Tribolium castaneum: one gene and its partners. Each later gene encodes a partner of the first gene's protein in a complex. Links are inferred from orthologs where the notes say so. Each region holds a gene or a part of one and is shown on either strand. Other genes may lie near its edges. The genes, in order: eukaryotic initiation factor 4A-III, Ref1 and btz.

Region 1 (4,518 bases):
TTTATTGAATTTTGTTCAAATATCAATGTTTAGGACATTGGTGAGGACCCTTCCGTGGATCGCACCCTCTGGGGCGAGCTCGAGTCCGAATCAGAGGAGGAGGATGAGGAAGAGGAGGAAGACCAAGACAACCAACAAAACGCCGCTGACGAATCCGGTCTTGTTACTCCAGCTGAGGGCTTGGTGACACCTAGTGGTCTCACAAGCGTGCCAACTGGCATGGAAACACCCGAAGCTATAGAATTGAGGAAAAAGAAAATCGAGAGCGAAATGGAACAGTAAGAATTATTTTGTCTCTAGGGGGGTATTTTAAATTGTTTTGTAGGGGTGAAAACCCGATTTTGTATCATGTCATTCCCGAAAAACGCAATGAGAGAATAGGTGGTTCCATGATGGGGAGCAGCCACGTTTACGACATGTCTGCTGTGGGCGCAGCCCCTGCAACTAGTCGCAAACCAGGGGACAAGGAAGGAATGGTTGAGTTGGCTCTTGATCCGTCTGAGTTGGATATGGATAGCGATGCAATGGCGGTTCGTTACGAACAACAAATGAGGGAAAACCAGTCACAGCTGCAGAAGGAAGATCTCAGTGATATGTTAGCTGAGCACGTCGCCAAACAAAAGGTAACATATTGTGTAATTTGTTGATTTACCTAATTGTTTCGTTTTAGAATAAACGCAAGCGCCAACAACAGGACACAAAACAAACGAAAAAATACAAAGAATTCAAGTTTTAGTGCATTTTCTGGTATGAATATTTGTCATTCTGATTTTAATTTGGCGAGAGAAATATTAGGAGTAGGAAAAATCATAGTCGTTTATTACTTCCCATATTAATTAATTAATTATTACACAAACTTCTTACATAATATAAGGACATAAAAAATGTTATTCGTTTAAATTAAATCAGCGACATTCATCGGCATTTCGTCAATCTGTGTGGAATAATACTGCTCAATATCCCGCAAAATCCTGATATCGTCCGACTTGACGAAATTAATCGCAACACCCTTTCTACCAAACCTGCCAGATCGCCCAATACGGTGAATGTACAACTCACGGTTGTTCGGCAAATCGTAATTAATGACCAAACTGACTTGCTGGACGTCGATACCTCTCGCCCACACATCGGTCGTGATAAGTACACGACTCTGTCCCGACCTGAACTCCTTCATAATATTATCTCTCTCCTTCTGGGGCATATCACCGTGCATGGAACTCACGGTGAAATTGTTTTCGCGCATTTTTTCAGTCAACCAATCGACTTTGCGTTTAGTGTTGCAAAAGATAACAGCTTGCGTGATGGTTAAAGTATCGTACAAGTCACAAAGTGTGTCAAATTTCCACTCCTCACGCTCAACCGCGACGAAAAATTGCTTGATGCCTTCAAGAGTTAATTCATCACGTTTTACCAAAATACGGATCGGGTCCGTCATGAACTTCGACGTGATCTCCAAAATCTCGTGGGGCAAAGTCGCAGAAATCAACACGACTTGAGTGGAGGGCGGCAGGAACCTGTAAACGTCGTAGATTTGCTCCTTGAAGCCTTTGTTTAACATTTCGTCGGCTTCGTCCAAAACCAGCATTTTGACGGACCTGGTCCTAAGGGCGCGCCGTCTGATCATGTCTGAAAATTAAGTTTTTTGGTAGGGGAAATTATTTATAAGATAATTATAAGTACCGTAAACTCTTCCAGGTGTTCCACTAACAACATGTTGCCCATAATCCAGCTTCCTGATATCCTCTCCCAGATTGGTCCCACCAATGCAGGCGTGACACTGCACGTTCATAAAGTCCCCCAAAGCCAGGATAACTTTCTGGATTTGCACGGCCAACTCCCTCGTTGGCGACAAGCAAAGTACTTGGGTTTCCCGCGTTTGCAAGTCAAGCGACTGCAAAATAGCGATCGAGAATGTGGCCGTTTTGCCGGTACCTGACTGGGCTTGAGCGATAACATCTCGGCCCTTTATTATCGGCTTGATAGCCCTCTGTTGGATAGCTGATGGTTTCTCAAAACCTGAAAGCAATGACCTCAATCCGAGCCGCACTGACCCACATTTTCCTATTACCATATGCAAAGACACCGCGAAGGAGCTCCTCCTTCAGGTGCATATTCTTAAATTGCTCGATGACTTCCACATCTTCGCTGGTTTCGAACTCAACGTTCGACAAGTCTTCGAAAGCCGCATTGCGGTTTGAAGGTTTTGCGACAGCCATTGCCTCCGTCAGAAATTAGAACGTGTGTTAAAGTAAAGTTTAGATGATTTAATTGAATGTCCAGTTCACTGAAGCACAACACTTGGGGCACCTGTCTTTCACAAAGGTGTTTGCATTTTTGGGGCCACTTGCACGTCCCCAACTGGTTTGTTTGTAGTATTGAGAGAAATAAAACACTTATTTTTCACCTTTACTAACTTTTAAACACTTTTTCGCCCGTTTAATGTTGTTTGCACGCGAGTCGCTACGTCTTTTAGCGTTTTTTGACATTTGACAAAAATATGGCGTCCACTTAATAGTAGGCAATATACAAGATTGTCTTGTATAATTGGTTGCCTGTGCATACTGTTAAAAAAATACAATTTATAGGTTACTGTAGCAACCCATAGATGGCACACAATTTTTTTCTAGATTACTGTAAACATGTACTTTGACCTACCATACTCAGATGTCGCCGCTTACGTTTTTTGGTTTTAATTTTTTTGTGTAATCTAAAAAATGTAATAAAGATCTAGTAAAAATTTTATAGAATTTGTAATTTACAAAATGCGAAATATCTTCGTTCTCGTACAAGATAGAGGGGTGGTTTTGCCCTTTTGAAAACCCAACCGCCCCGTAGTATTTTTCCTGGGCTATCGAATAGGCTAGGTCCCGTTCCCGTATCTCCATCAGGAACCGAAATAGCATTGCACATTTTTTAATCGGGAATCGAAGTACATGACGTAATAGTGCTCCAAAAGTTACGTGTGCATGCAAAATTTGAAGTTGCTACGACAACAGGAAGTGCCTCAAAATTAACTCGTAAAATATGATTCAAAATAAATCGCATTAAATAAAGTCTGTGAACAAACAAGCTGTAGTTTTTTATTAGAATTTTTATTCAACTTGCTTTGTTTGTCTTTCGGAGTTATAAATATTTTGAACTTAAATTTAAGACACTTCCTGTTATCGTAGCAACTTGAAATTTTGCATGCACACATAACTTTTGGAGCACTATTACGTAATGTACTTCGGTTGTTGATTTAAAGATGTGCAATGCTATCTCGGTTCCTGATGGAGATACGGGAACGGGACCTATTCCATTCGATAGCCCAGGAAAAATACTACGGGGCGGTAGGGTTTTCAAAAGGGCAGAACCACCCCTCTATCTCCTACAGGAACGGAGATATTTAAGATTTTGTGAATTACAAGATTTTCTTCAATTTTTATAAAAATTTTGTAAACAACCTAAAATTTTCTTTCACATTTCAAAATTTTTATAGAAATTTAAGGAAATCTTGTATTTCACAAAATGCGAAATATCTTCGTTCCTGTAGGAGATAGAGGGGTGGTTTTGCCCTTTTGAAAACCCTACCGCCCCGTAGTATTTTTCCTGGGCTATCGAATAGGCTAGGTCCTGTTCCCGTATCTCCATCAGGAACCGAAATAGCATTGCACATTTTTTAATCGAGAATCGAAGTACATGACGTAATAGGGCTCCAAAAGTTACGTGGACATGCAAAATTTCAAGTTGTTACGACAACAGGAAGTCTCCCAAATTTAAGTTCAAAATATTTATAAATCCGGAAGAAAGTTCAATAAAAACTGCTAATAAAAAACTAGATTTTTTGTTAAAAGCTTTTAAATAATGTGATTTATTTGGAATCATATGTTACGAGTTAATTTTGAAACACTTCCTGTTATCGTAGCAACTTGAAATTCTGCATTCACACGTAACTTTTGAGGCACTATTACGTGATGTACTCCGATTACCGATTTAAAAATGTGCAATGCTATTGCGGTTTCTGATAGAGATACAGGAACGAGACCTATTCCATTTGATAGCGCAGGAAAAATACTACGGGGCGGTAGGGGCTTTAAAAGGGCAGAACCACCCCTCTATCTTCTACAGGAACGAAGATATTACGCATTTTGTAAATCACAAATTTTATAAAATTTTTAATATATCTTTATTAAATTTTTTAGATTACATAAAAAAATTAAAAACAAAAAAAACGTAAGCGGCGACATCTAAGTATGGTATGTCAAAGTACATGTTTACAATAGTCTACAAAAAAAATCGTGTTATCTATGCGCTGTTTTCTTAAGTAGTAGATTACAGTAACCTGTAAATTCTTAAAATTATTAGAAATTTGTTTTCCATATTTGTTGACTAAAAACATTAAAAAATGTTGTTGTTAACTTATTCTGTTTATTTAAAACTTTCTTCAAATACACAGTTTTGTTTTAAATAAGTTGTTGCAAAATTTATTTTACAAAACTTCCCGTATAATTAGTTGCCTATAATAAACGTCAAATATTG
Region 2 (4,307 bases), on another chromosome or scaffold:
TTGTTCCACATATAGAAACAATTTGTGCTCAAGCACGTAAGATGTTAGAACTCATTTATTTTACACGAATAAACAATAAAGGTTTCAAAAATATTAAGTCTTTGGACATATTGTAGGCCACGTTTGGAATATATAGTGGTGTCGTGGTTTCCATTTTATTATAATCAGATTAATGCCCTAAGAACATGTAGATTTTGTTTATAAATATCTACACTAGATTAAATTCGGTAACTATGCGGAACAAGGATATTCACACAAAATACTAGGCGAATTTAAAAAAGTTGAATTATAGGAACTAAGAAAACTTAATGTAATTTAATTTTGATACAAAATTGTGAACATTACAAGCAGCCACAAGACAGCTCAGTTACTATAATTATTAATCTTACACTGTTGCTTAATAAATTATTATTTTCTTTTAGTATTCTTTATTGATGAAAATTACGTTGAGTGCACTCGCTTCGATTGGATGTACTTTTTGTAATTTGTTTTGTCGTATATTTAGTAATATAAACCCTAAACGCAAGTTCTCACGGACCCACTTTAGTTGTTCAATTAAAGATGAAAATTTTTAATGGAAATCATCGTAAAAAACTTGATCCACTTAAGACACAACAAAGATTCTGACGATGATTTTTGTTGAAGTTTTATTGTTCAACTTGAAATAAACGACTAAAATCGATCCGTGTCAACGTGCCTTTAGCGACAACTGTTACAAGATTTATTATGGTTTTAAATCAAGATTGAAGGCGATTAATTTTTTATACAACTCGGTCTTAACGTCATGTGATACATTTGGCTGATGCAGTTTTATGTATAAATAAAAAAAATTTCTAATGAAACGACAAGTCACACTTAATTCTTATTTATTCCTATCAATACAATTTACATTAACAAGAGAAAACAGCCTAACACTAGATTTAGTTGTGGAAAAAACGAACCGCATACGTAATCCTCGTACTTTAGTGGTTATTTTTTATAAAATGTAAGGCTCGATGTTACAATCAAAATACAAAATAAAAATACGAAAGAACTAAACACAAGTCACAAAAAGTGGCGCGTTGAGCGTCTCTGATATTAATAGCACTTATTTTATTTCATCTCCTTGGTGTAGGCGTCTAATTCAGCGTCGAGTTCTTCAGCTGTCGGTTGTTTCTTTTGATTTCTGAAACTTCGTCCTCCTCCACGACCTGGCAAACAAACATTTGTTTAGTTGAAAAATCCGGCTGTTGGAGGCGTCGCCGCCGCTGGTCAAGTAATTGTACCTCTGTTAGGTCGTCCCTTGGCAGGTGCAGCCCCTCTTCTGCTTTGGAACTTCCTCTCTCCCGTGGGCCTCCTGACCGGCGACGGAATCTCCGACGTGATGATTTGAATGTTCATGGCGCGTCCGTCGAGAGGCACTCCGTTGTACTGCTTCATGGCCTTAATAGCGTCGGTGCGCCTTTCGAAAATCACATCAGCGGTGCCGAGCGACCGCCCCGAGCGGTCATAGTGCACCGAGGCGCTCTTTAGCGGCCCAAACTCGGCGAACAATTCCTGAATATCCGAGTCGGAGACCGCAAAGTCTAAATTGCCCACCATGAGCTTAGTGGGGCCCACATTGGACTGCACAACGGCCCGAGCCGCGGCCACTTTACGCGGGCCGTAGCCCTCGAACAGATCGTGCTTCCAAGCACTGTTCACATCTCCCTAAACAAACATGGATGGGGGTAAATTCCGGCTCTCCGGCTGGATGCACGCTAGCCGCTTCCATCGCGGGGCAGCTTAAGTATAAACATAGTTAGAAACAATTACCCGGGTGTACTGGCGCGTTATTCCTCCGCGTCCTCGGCCCCTTTGGACGCCGCCGGCTCTTCGGAACGTGCCGCGTCTTGGCGCGCCACCCCCGCGGGTTCCGCCGCGACCTCCGCGACGGCCGCCGCGCCGGGGCTTGGATTTTATTATCTCATCTAAACTCATTTCAATTGTGTCGACCATTTTTACTGATTTTGTACGCTGATTTGACTGAGAAATTCACTTTTTCTACACCCGGCGGCAACGCACACAACCAACGACAAAATGGCGTACAAAATGAACGACAGACGCTGTGCGCATGCGCCACGTCACTGCGCTGTCGGCAACACAGGAACCTGCCCGGATTTTACCAAAAAAAAATACGACCGCATGTATTAGGCAATTTTTTGCATTTTCAGCATAATACAGAAACAAAGAATAAAAACTTATTTTTATGTTTATGAAATAGGTAACCTATTTACACCAATGTAAAAACACCGCTGTATTATTGGTTCCCTATACATTCAATTTTTTTCAAACTTTGTTCTACCAGTTTATGTAGGTAGGTATTTGTAAATGAAATTTTGTTCTTCTACCTAATGTATGTTAAAATATTGTCAATACAAAACAGATGTTTATTTATATTGACTCATTAACACATTTTAGTGTTTGAAGAATCTTTGGCAGAATTGAAATATTGTGTAATGTTAGACTTTCTTTATTTGATCCATTAAAAGTAAAAAAAATCAAATGTGAACACGTTTAAATTTAAAAGAAATTTAAAAAATGTAATAAAAAAATATTAATTTAATTTAAAAATTCCAACAAAACAAACACTCACGCGAAAACGTTTAAAGTTCTCGGGTGTATATTATGTAACTCGCATACGCTCGTTTGCTCAAATCACCGTCTGTTAGTCATATAAACTTTGGGAAAAGTACTCAAAAGACGCAATCCCAATTTCCTAGTTGATATTGCGTTTCTGATTAATTTTTAGACGCTGAAGTGAAAGTTTCAACCTCTAATATCCCAAAAAATAATAAAAGTTTGGATTAAGTAGTTAATTACACAGTAATTAGATGTCAAAACACAAAAAATATTTATTTTTAGTTAGTTAATAATTTGTTCATCAGTTAACACTTCTCTATTATATTAAATACTTACTATCAACCCCGACATATTTCTCAAAATTCTGTGAAAAGTTCGTTATGAACGGAAAACTAGTTCGTTTTATCCGTAAGTTCTCCACCACTGAAGTTTAATCCTGAATTAAATTTTATTTGGCTTTGTACAGTAACTAGTCCCTAAGACTATAAATTTAGTTAATTAATTATTATATTGATTTTTTTAATTAATTAATATTTATTGTAAGGAATTGTAGAATAATCCTGAAAAAAATCACATGCACAGAGAAAACTGTAAAGCACCAGATGATCCTAACATATTTTTGATTTTATAGTTTTATTGGGTTATATACAAAAATACATTCACTGAGATTAAAGATCTCAGCATAATAATTTAAAGGATCGGTTGAATCCTGAGAGGTTTTTTTAATTTTACTCGTGTTAATTTTAAACAGGTGCACAAACTGTCTTCTTCATTTATCATCATTATCAAATTGGAAGTCTGTTATCGCCGTTATTGTAAGTAGGTATACTCGAGGGCCACTGATACGTGTCAATGTCATGACTGGGTGAGTTTATCACAATGCACCAGTTAATAAAAATTGTTATATTTACGCTCTGATAGATGAATCTAGATAAAAAAAAATTGGAAACTGTTTAATCTTGCAGTTTGGAATTTTTTCTAATAACAAATATTATTTTACGCCGCTCCTAAAAATATCGAGTAGAGTACAGGTCAAAAACAATGTCCACTCATAAAATTCGAAAATTAATCGGATCAAGTGAGCGTGGGTTTGTTTATGCTCATTTATCATCTGCACGTTTACATGGCAGAAATTTATTGAAAAGTCGTTTCAGGATTAGTTCGTTTGAGGAACAATAGATGTCTCGTATCAATTAGTGTACTTAAGTTAATGTTACTTTATTATGACCACATTATGACTGAGTGTGGTTCTATTTCGTACGTGAACAGGGTCACGCCGAAAATGACGCAAGTTGTGTCGGCAATCAATAGCAGTCGACTGCCGTTTTATCCAGCCGACGAATCAAAATCTCTTCGTGACCATTTCTCCAACGATAAAAATAATATTTGGCACTTAGTACAATAGAATAATATGGTACAATTATGAATGGGCGTTTGTTTTAATAATAGTCGTGGGGACGCCGGCTGAAGACTGGTAAGTACGTATCCTAATTAAAATTTCTCTAGAGGTCAAGTTTTCTATCTGTAGATCGTCCGTTTGTAGCTATTTCGTGAATTTAATAAACTGATAAAATAATATTTTGAGTACAACACAAACATTATATCGTGTTATGTTTAACATAGTTCAATTCACTCAATCAGTATGTGTTTACATACGCTCGGGTATATATTAAACCGCGAACTTAACTTTATCTTAATCTACTATT
Region 3 (5,305 bases), about 940 kb from region 1:
CTATGATGATTGGTTTTCTCCGTAATTTTAATGGCCGACCTCAAACGGCCCAATCAAAACGCTTACAACTTTCACTATTACGTGCCTAGTTTTACGCTAATTCATTAAATAGTATTAATGAATCTGTCTTTGTCCCCTCGCATGTTATTCTACCCCTTTATGAAATACTGGAGGATCTGCTAGATGAAAAGAGGCAAAATTGAAACACCGAGAGAAAATAAATAAGAAATATTAAATGAAAACTTTTTTATTTTAGTTACAAAAGAATTTGGCTAATACACACGTTAAAAATTATTGCGCATGCGCACGTTCTTTTAAATTTGACGGATGACATTTCGAAAATGATTTGAGAAAATCCAACAAATAAGACGAAAAATCTGTGGAAACTGTTTTGGGTAATTGAAAAATGCTAAAGGGGGTCATAAGGCACATAAAACACGTAATATCAATGTAGTGTTTTTCAGACTGTGCTGCTGATTTATGCAAAAGTGTTAAGAGCTCCCACACTGACTGCGTATGGTGACTGCACTCATAATTTCTAAATTAATCACACGTAAAAGTGGTAAGTGCTCATTTGTTCAACCAAAAAATGTTGGCGCGGTCCAGAAGTACCTATCAAAAAATGTTTCCTGTAAGTACCGTCGCGAGCAAAAAATCAAAGATCTTCAACATTTCATCTTCATAAACCTTCGTGTTAAAAACATTCGTCTCATTAAGCCTAAACCACATCGTTTTTTTTAATGCCGTTAATTAAGTGCCCGAAATTTTTTGTTCACTATACTGTACTGTAACACTTTCAAACTACCTATATCCTGTCTCTAGTTTTACAGTTGGGAAAAATTGATGTTAATTAAGGGCCAGGGGGCGCTTAGTAGGTACAGCGTGGCCTCAAACCACTGAGGGGTCTAATGATAATCCAAAAATGTTTTAGTCAGAGTTAAACTAATCAATTATAATATTTACTAGTTTAGATCCGAATTAAGGTCGTCCTGGACCCATCTACTTACCAGATGAAAATTATTTTTTATCAAATGTAATGTCCAAAGGAATATATTGCGAATTGGTTGCCTAAGAAAATATATTCAAGACTATAATTAAGAGGGCAAAAAAGGATTACATTTTAGCTATTTTCCGCAATGATTTACAGCCGTGTTAAGAAGCATTTTTGATATTATTTTACAGGGTACATTCTTTCACTCAGACTCTAGGGGAGAAAGTCTTTTAAAATGCGTTCACTGCTTTACTTAATTCAGAAAAAAATTCTGAAAACTAAAAAATCTCATCAAAATCTAATACTCAGAAAAAAATTTCCCATCAACAATAATAATCATTCTTTATTACTTAAAATCTACTTCATGGCCAAAAATATTTTCTTTTTCTTTTAACACTTACTGTTGTACTTTGTGTTTGTGTAAAAAAAAATCAAAAACCAAACAAAATCGACCAGTAACATTTAGCGCAAAATCATAACCATAACATAAATTATTTGTATTGTGCGTATACTTGAAAATAAATTTAAGTGATGATGTTATAATTTGAACCTACCATTTGAGTAGTAATTCGAGTGCTGCGAGAACGGCGGCGTTGCCGACTCTGGAAGCGACCTCTGTCTGATGGAACTGTACCGTTTGGAGCCCTTTTGTTCCGATTGGAGTCTTGGTGGGACGCTGCCTTGTCTCTGTCCCCCGTGTTTACCCCCTTTATGCACCCCATCCTGAACGTTCAATTTTGATAAATCCTTTTCTAGCTCTTGTATGTTGTTATTTTTATTTGTAAAATTTTGCGACTGGATAAAATCGTCTTTTTTCGAGGATTTCGGGACGACTTTTTGATCAGTTTTCATATTCCTAACTTGACGTGTTTTTGTAGTAAAACCCCTATAATCTGAATCCTTGATTTCGCGTTTTGGTTTAACCACACGGCCAGAACCGACGCGTTGCTGCATCCTGTTGGATTCTTGTGGTGGGACTGGCGGAGACTGCGGAGACTCGCATACTGAATTTTTCGTGTTACCGTTTGTTTCAGCTTGGTACTGGTCTGTTTTCTCTTCGTAATCTCTGCTATCCTGCGGGTCTTCTTGATTACTTGAGCGGTTTAGAGGCGGAAAGTCTTCGCCTTGATTGGGCTTTCTGAGGGGTTTCTTTTTACGAATAAGAGGTGGCGGTTTGTTGTAGGCATCTTCGTCTTCCCAGTTTCTTGTATACTTGTTAGGGCCACGTCTTTGGAAATGCATGCGCAACAAATTAAACCGATTTTTAACACAGTGAGGGAACTCACCCGTATCGTCTGCGCCTTCGAGCTCGAGGGGGACCTTCCTCGTTCCTAATATCGTACCCATAGATGGCCACAAGTTCAGCCCTGGACTTGGGGGCTTGCTCAGAGTCGTTAAAACGATCATGACTCCACCTTTCCTTCTTATCCTGCCATACTTTTTTCTTCTGTTCTTTTTCCTTCTCCAATTCTACATTATCAGCTGTTTGCCTAAACAATTAATCAGTCACACTACATGAACTGTGTAATTATTCGCACTCACTCGTCATCAGCTGTCCGGTCATCGTGTTCGTAAAAAGTGCCCCTTTTGGGTATGTACTGGGGGTTTTTCTTGTCCTCATCATCGTCCACCTTCCTGAGAGGCAAACTCTCCTGTCCGTCGCCAGATTCCCGCTCCAGCCCTACACTGCCTTCAGTTTCCGAATCAGTGTGCTCCCTGGAATTCCTCGACCTCGCTTTATCCTCCTCTTCATCACTGTAACTCCCTGCACTGTCATACTCCGACTCGTTAGGGGACTTGTGGCTCTCCTCAGCGTCAATTCGTGTCTTTTCCTGCAAAATCATTCTTAAACTGAGAAGAATTCACGCGAGATCGCCTCGGTTGTGCTCCACTTCGTTCTGAACTTGTGACCTGGTTTGTTAATTTTTTCTCAAATCTTTCTCTTTTCCGGAACGAAGGAGCAACGTAAGGAGCAATTGGGCTCACCTGTGATATGTTTTCCACCGTTTGGGGGGCTGTCGCTGGCACAGCAACGGTTTCTTCCATCTTTTTGTTGTTTTACAAATATCTTTATCTTGGCCGGATTGGCAAGATTCGATGGCCAGTGACAAATTCAAGACTTACGTCTCGTTTCTGGTCCTTTTCATGCTCAATGGAACGACGTGAAAGGAAAAGAAACAGAGAGAAACAAGTTGGTGCCAACTAGCAACTCCTTGTCACAAGGTTTCAGAGGTTAGGTTAAGCACAGAAGCACCAACTTTTGGTGGCAACTGAATAACTAGTTGCCTATACTTTTATAAGTAAAATTTAAATAAAAACGCCCTTGTTGATAAAATTGTCCAAAAGGCCGCAAACTAATATAAGCAGTCGATTGAAACGTCATCTATAGTTTTTTAGTTAAAATTTTTTTTATACAATTTGAGTTATATTAGTTGCATAGATCGCACCAGAGACAACTTGTGAAATTAAAAAAAATAAATTAAAATTCAAAAATTTTGACATAATTTAGCGTTAATCATGGTAAAACTTTATAGAAAATGTTCCAATAACCCACTTAACTGTTGTAGAAAAGCTCATTTCAAACTGTTCTTCACCTTATTTTGATGGTAGCAGTCCCATTCTTCGTGGTAATGGTCGCGCTTTACTTAGCGTTTGCCTTTGGGGCCTTTGGGCCTGCCTCGGAAAGATGTGACGCTCTATGCTGTTATTTAGCAAATAAAACTCTAAATATTTACGACAAACGCGATCGCGAATACATAGAATATGAATTTGAACTTGATGCCCTTAACAAAAGATCTATTAGTTCTCTTAGCCAAACCTTCACTCTTGCAAAGTGTAAGGAATCAGAGAATCCAGCAATTGCCGCTCTTCTCGGAAAGCGATATATTGATGCAAAAGAAGGATTTTTCAAATGTGCTGTTGGTGTTATTGCGCGAAACTGGGCCCTAGCTGTTGATGACTGTGTTGAAAATTTGGGCGTTCTGAGATTAGGGTCGTCATGGTGGTCTTTCGGGGGAGTGACAAAAAGGGTCAATAATGTCATTTTTTCTAATTTTGGTTTGGTTTTGCTACATTTTAATGCAACTGACGATAAGGCATTTGAAATTGCGAAACTTGATCGATTTGTACAGAGCTTTACTTGGGATAGGAGAGTGGATCTCCCGTTGGCACAAAGGCAAAAATTCAACAAATTGCTCAGTTTTGATGTTCGTGTTTATCAACACGAGGACTGTACGGGTTTCATCAAACAGAAGCATGTTTCTTGTTACATTTCAAGCAGGAACGAGTTTTGTGGAAAAAGGGTTAATGCTCCAATGATCGACCAAAGTAACAACTTGGTGGGAATGCATTTGGAGACTTTTTGCCCAAAAAATGAAAGTTATGCGATTGTTTTTTACATTGATGTTTATTCTTACAAAACCTGGATTTTGGACATGGTTAATAAATTTTGAACACACAAATTTCGTTTTTTTTAATCACCTAGTGACCGTTTCTTGAGTGACCACAAGTGCGTACCAAGTGACAAGCAAGTCAAATTTCGTAGAATGTTTTTGATACCACAAGACCCAAAAGGTGTTCGGCCCAAAGTAAAGCAACTTAAAAGATCTTAATTTGTCATTAGCAAGTTTTATAGACATGTTGGACGAAAAGATCTGCCTTTCAAACGGGTCTCATTTTGATACTTTTTGTGGCAGTTCCATTTTTCATAGTAATGGTTGCTCTGTACGGGCATTCTCTAACGGCCTGGAAGCAAACAGAAAAATGCTTTCGGTTGTGCACTTTGCTTCGCAATTGGAAAATGAAACGACAGCTTACAGATCCCACGGGTAAAAGAAAAATTTCTAATGTTTATTTCCAAAGTTTTCTAATTTCATAATAGATTATCCCAGTTTTCTTGAAGAGATAGCATCGAAAGACATAGAAGACATGGAAAGACGCAAACGGGATGCTGCGACTTGTAAGTGATAACAACCAAAGTTTTTCGAAAAATAATTAATAAGAAAGGAAAATTATGATAACTAATGCACCTTATATTTTTGAGTAACTCAATAGTCTTCAAAAAAAGCTTAATTAACGCCAAAACTATAGTAGAACCTCTTTAGAGACTGAAATTTACAGGGTACATTCTTCCACTTGGACTCTAGGAGAGAAAGTCTTTTAAAATGCGTTCAATGCTTTACTTAATTTAGAAAAAAATTCTGAAAACTGAAAAAATCTCAAAAATCTCTTTGAAAATTTTTTTCCATCATCAATAAGAATCATTCTTTATTACTAAAAGTCTACTTCATTGTCAAAAATATTTTATTTTTCTTT

Evidence for each region.
Region 2: eukaryotic initiation factor 4A-III (region 1) and Ref1 share a complex: the UniProt entries of both Homo sapiens proteins name them as parts of the ALYREF/THOC4-EJC-RNA complex. The link is inferred for Tribolium castaneum from reciprocal best matches to the Homo sapiens genes EIF4A3 and ALYREF.
Region 3: the proteins of eukaryotic initiation factor 4A-III (region 1) and btz are in contact, whole or in part, in a crystal structure (PDB 2J0U), measured with the Homo sapiens proteins. The link is inferred for Tribolium castaneum from reciprocal best matches to the Homo sapiens genes EIF4A3 and CASC3. Residues at the interface, in NP_055555.1 of Homo sapiens: Thr178, Arg179, Lys198, Ile201, Tyr202, Tyr205, Arg206, Tyr207, Leu208, Pro209, Pro210, Thr212, Lys231, Phe232; in NP_031385.2 of Homo sapiens: Arg217, Trp218, Glu219, His220, Asp221, Lys222, Phe223, Glu225.

The regions. Positions count from the first base shown.
Region 1 is NC_087396.1:14,193,876-14,198,393, reverse strand, and holds eukaryotic initiation factor 4A-III, read right to left. Parts: upstream 2,505-4,518; 5' UTR 2,217-2,504; coding exon 2,069-2,216; intron 2,017-2,068; coding exon 1,681-2,016; intron 1,627-1,680; coding exon 896-1,626; 3' UTR 799-895; downstream 1-798. Other genes in the region: Sf3b2 (splicing factor 3B subunit 2), read left to right, coding at 34-278, 326-623, 671-736. UniProt on the Homo sapiens protein: ATP-dependent RNA helicase. Involved in pre-mRNA splicing as component of the spliceosome. Core component of the splicing-dependent multiprotein exon junction complex (EJC) deposited at splice junctions on mRNAs.
Region 2 is NC_087395.1:19,979,491-19,983,797, forward strand, and holds Ref1 (THO complex subunit 4), read right to left. Parts: upstream 2,090-4,307; 5' UTR 1,978-2,089; coding exon 1,795-1,977; intron 1,690-1,794; coding exon 1,266-1,689; intron 1,191-1,265; coding exon 1,093-1,190; 3' UTR 850-1,092; downstream 1-849. Other genes in the region: sedoheptulokinase, read left to right, coding at 4,079-4,079. UniProt on the Homo sapiens protein: Functions as an mRNA export adapter; component of the transcription/export (TREX) complex which is thought to couple mRNA transcription, processing and nuclear export, and specifically associates with spliced mRNA and not with unspliced pre-mRNA.
Region 3 is NC_087396.1:15,135,109-15,140,413, reverse strand, and holds the start of btz (protein CASC3), read right to left. Parts: upstream 3,117-5,305; 5' UTR 3,038-3,116; coding exon 2,978-3,037; intron 2,824-2,977; coding exon 2,534-2,823; intron 2,482-2,533; coding exon 2,278-2,481; intron 2,220-2,277; coding exon 1,546-2,219; intron 1-1,545. Other genes in the region: uncharacterized protein Arl6, read left to right, coding at 4,537-4,578, 4,626-4,818, 4,872-4,949. UniProt on the Homo sapiens protein: Required for pre-mRNA splicing as component of the spliceosome. Core component of the splicing-dependent multiprotein exon junction complex (EJC) deposited at splice junctions on mRNAs.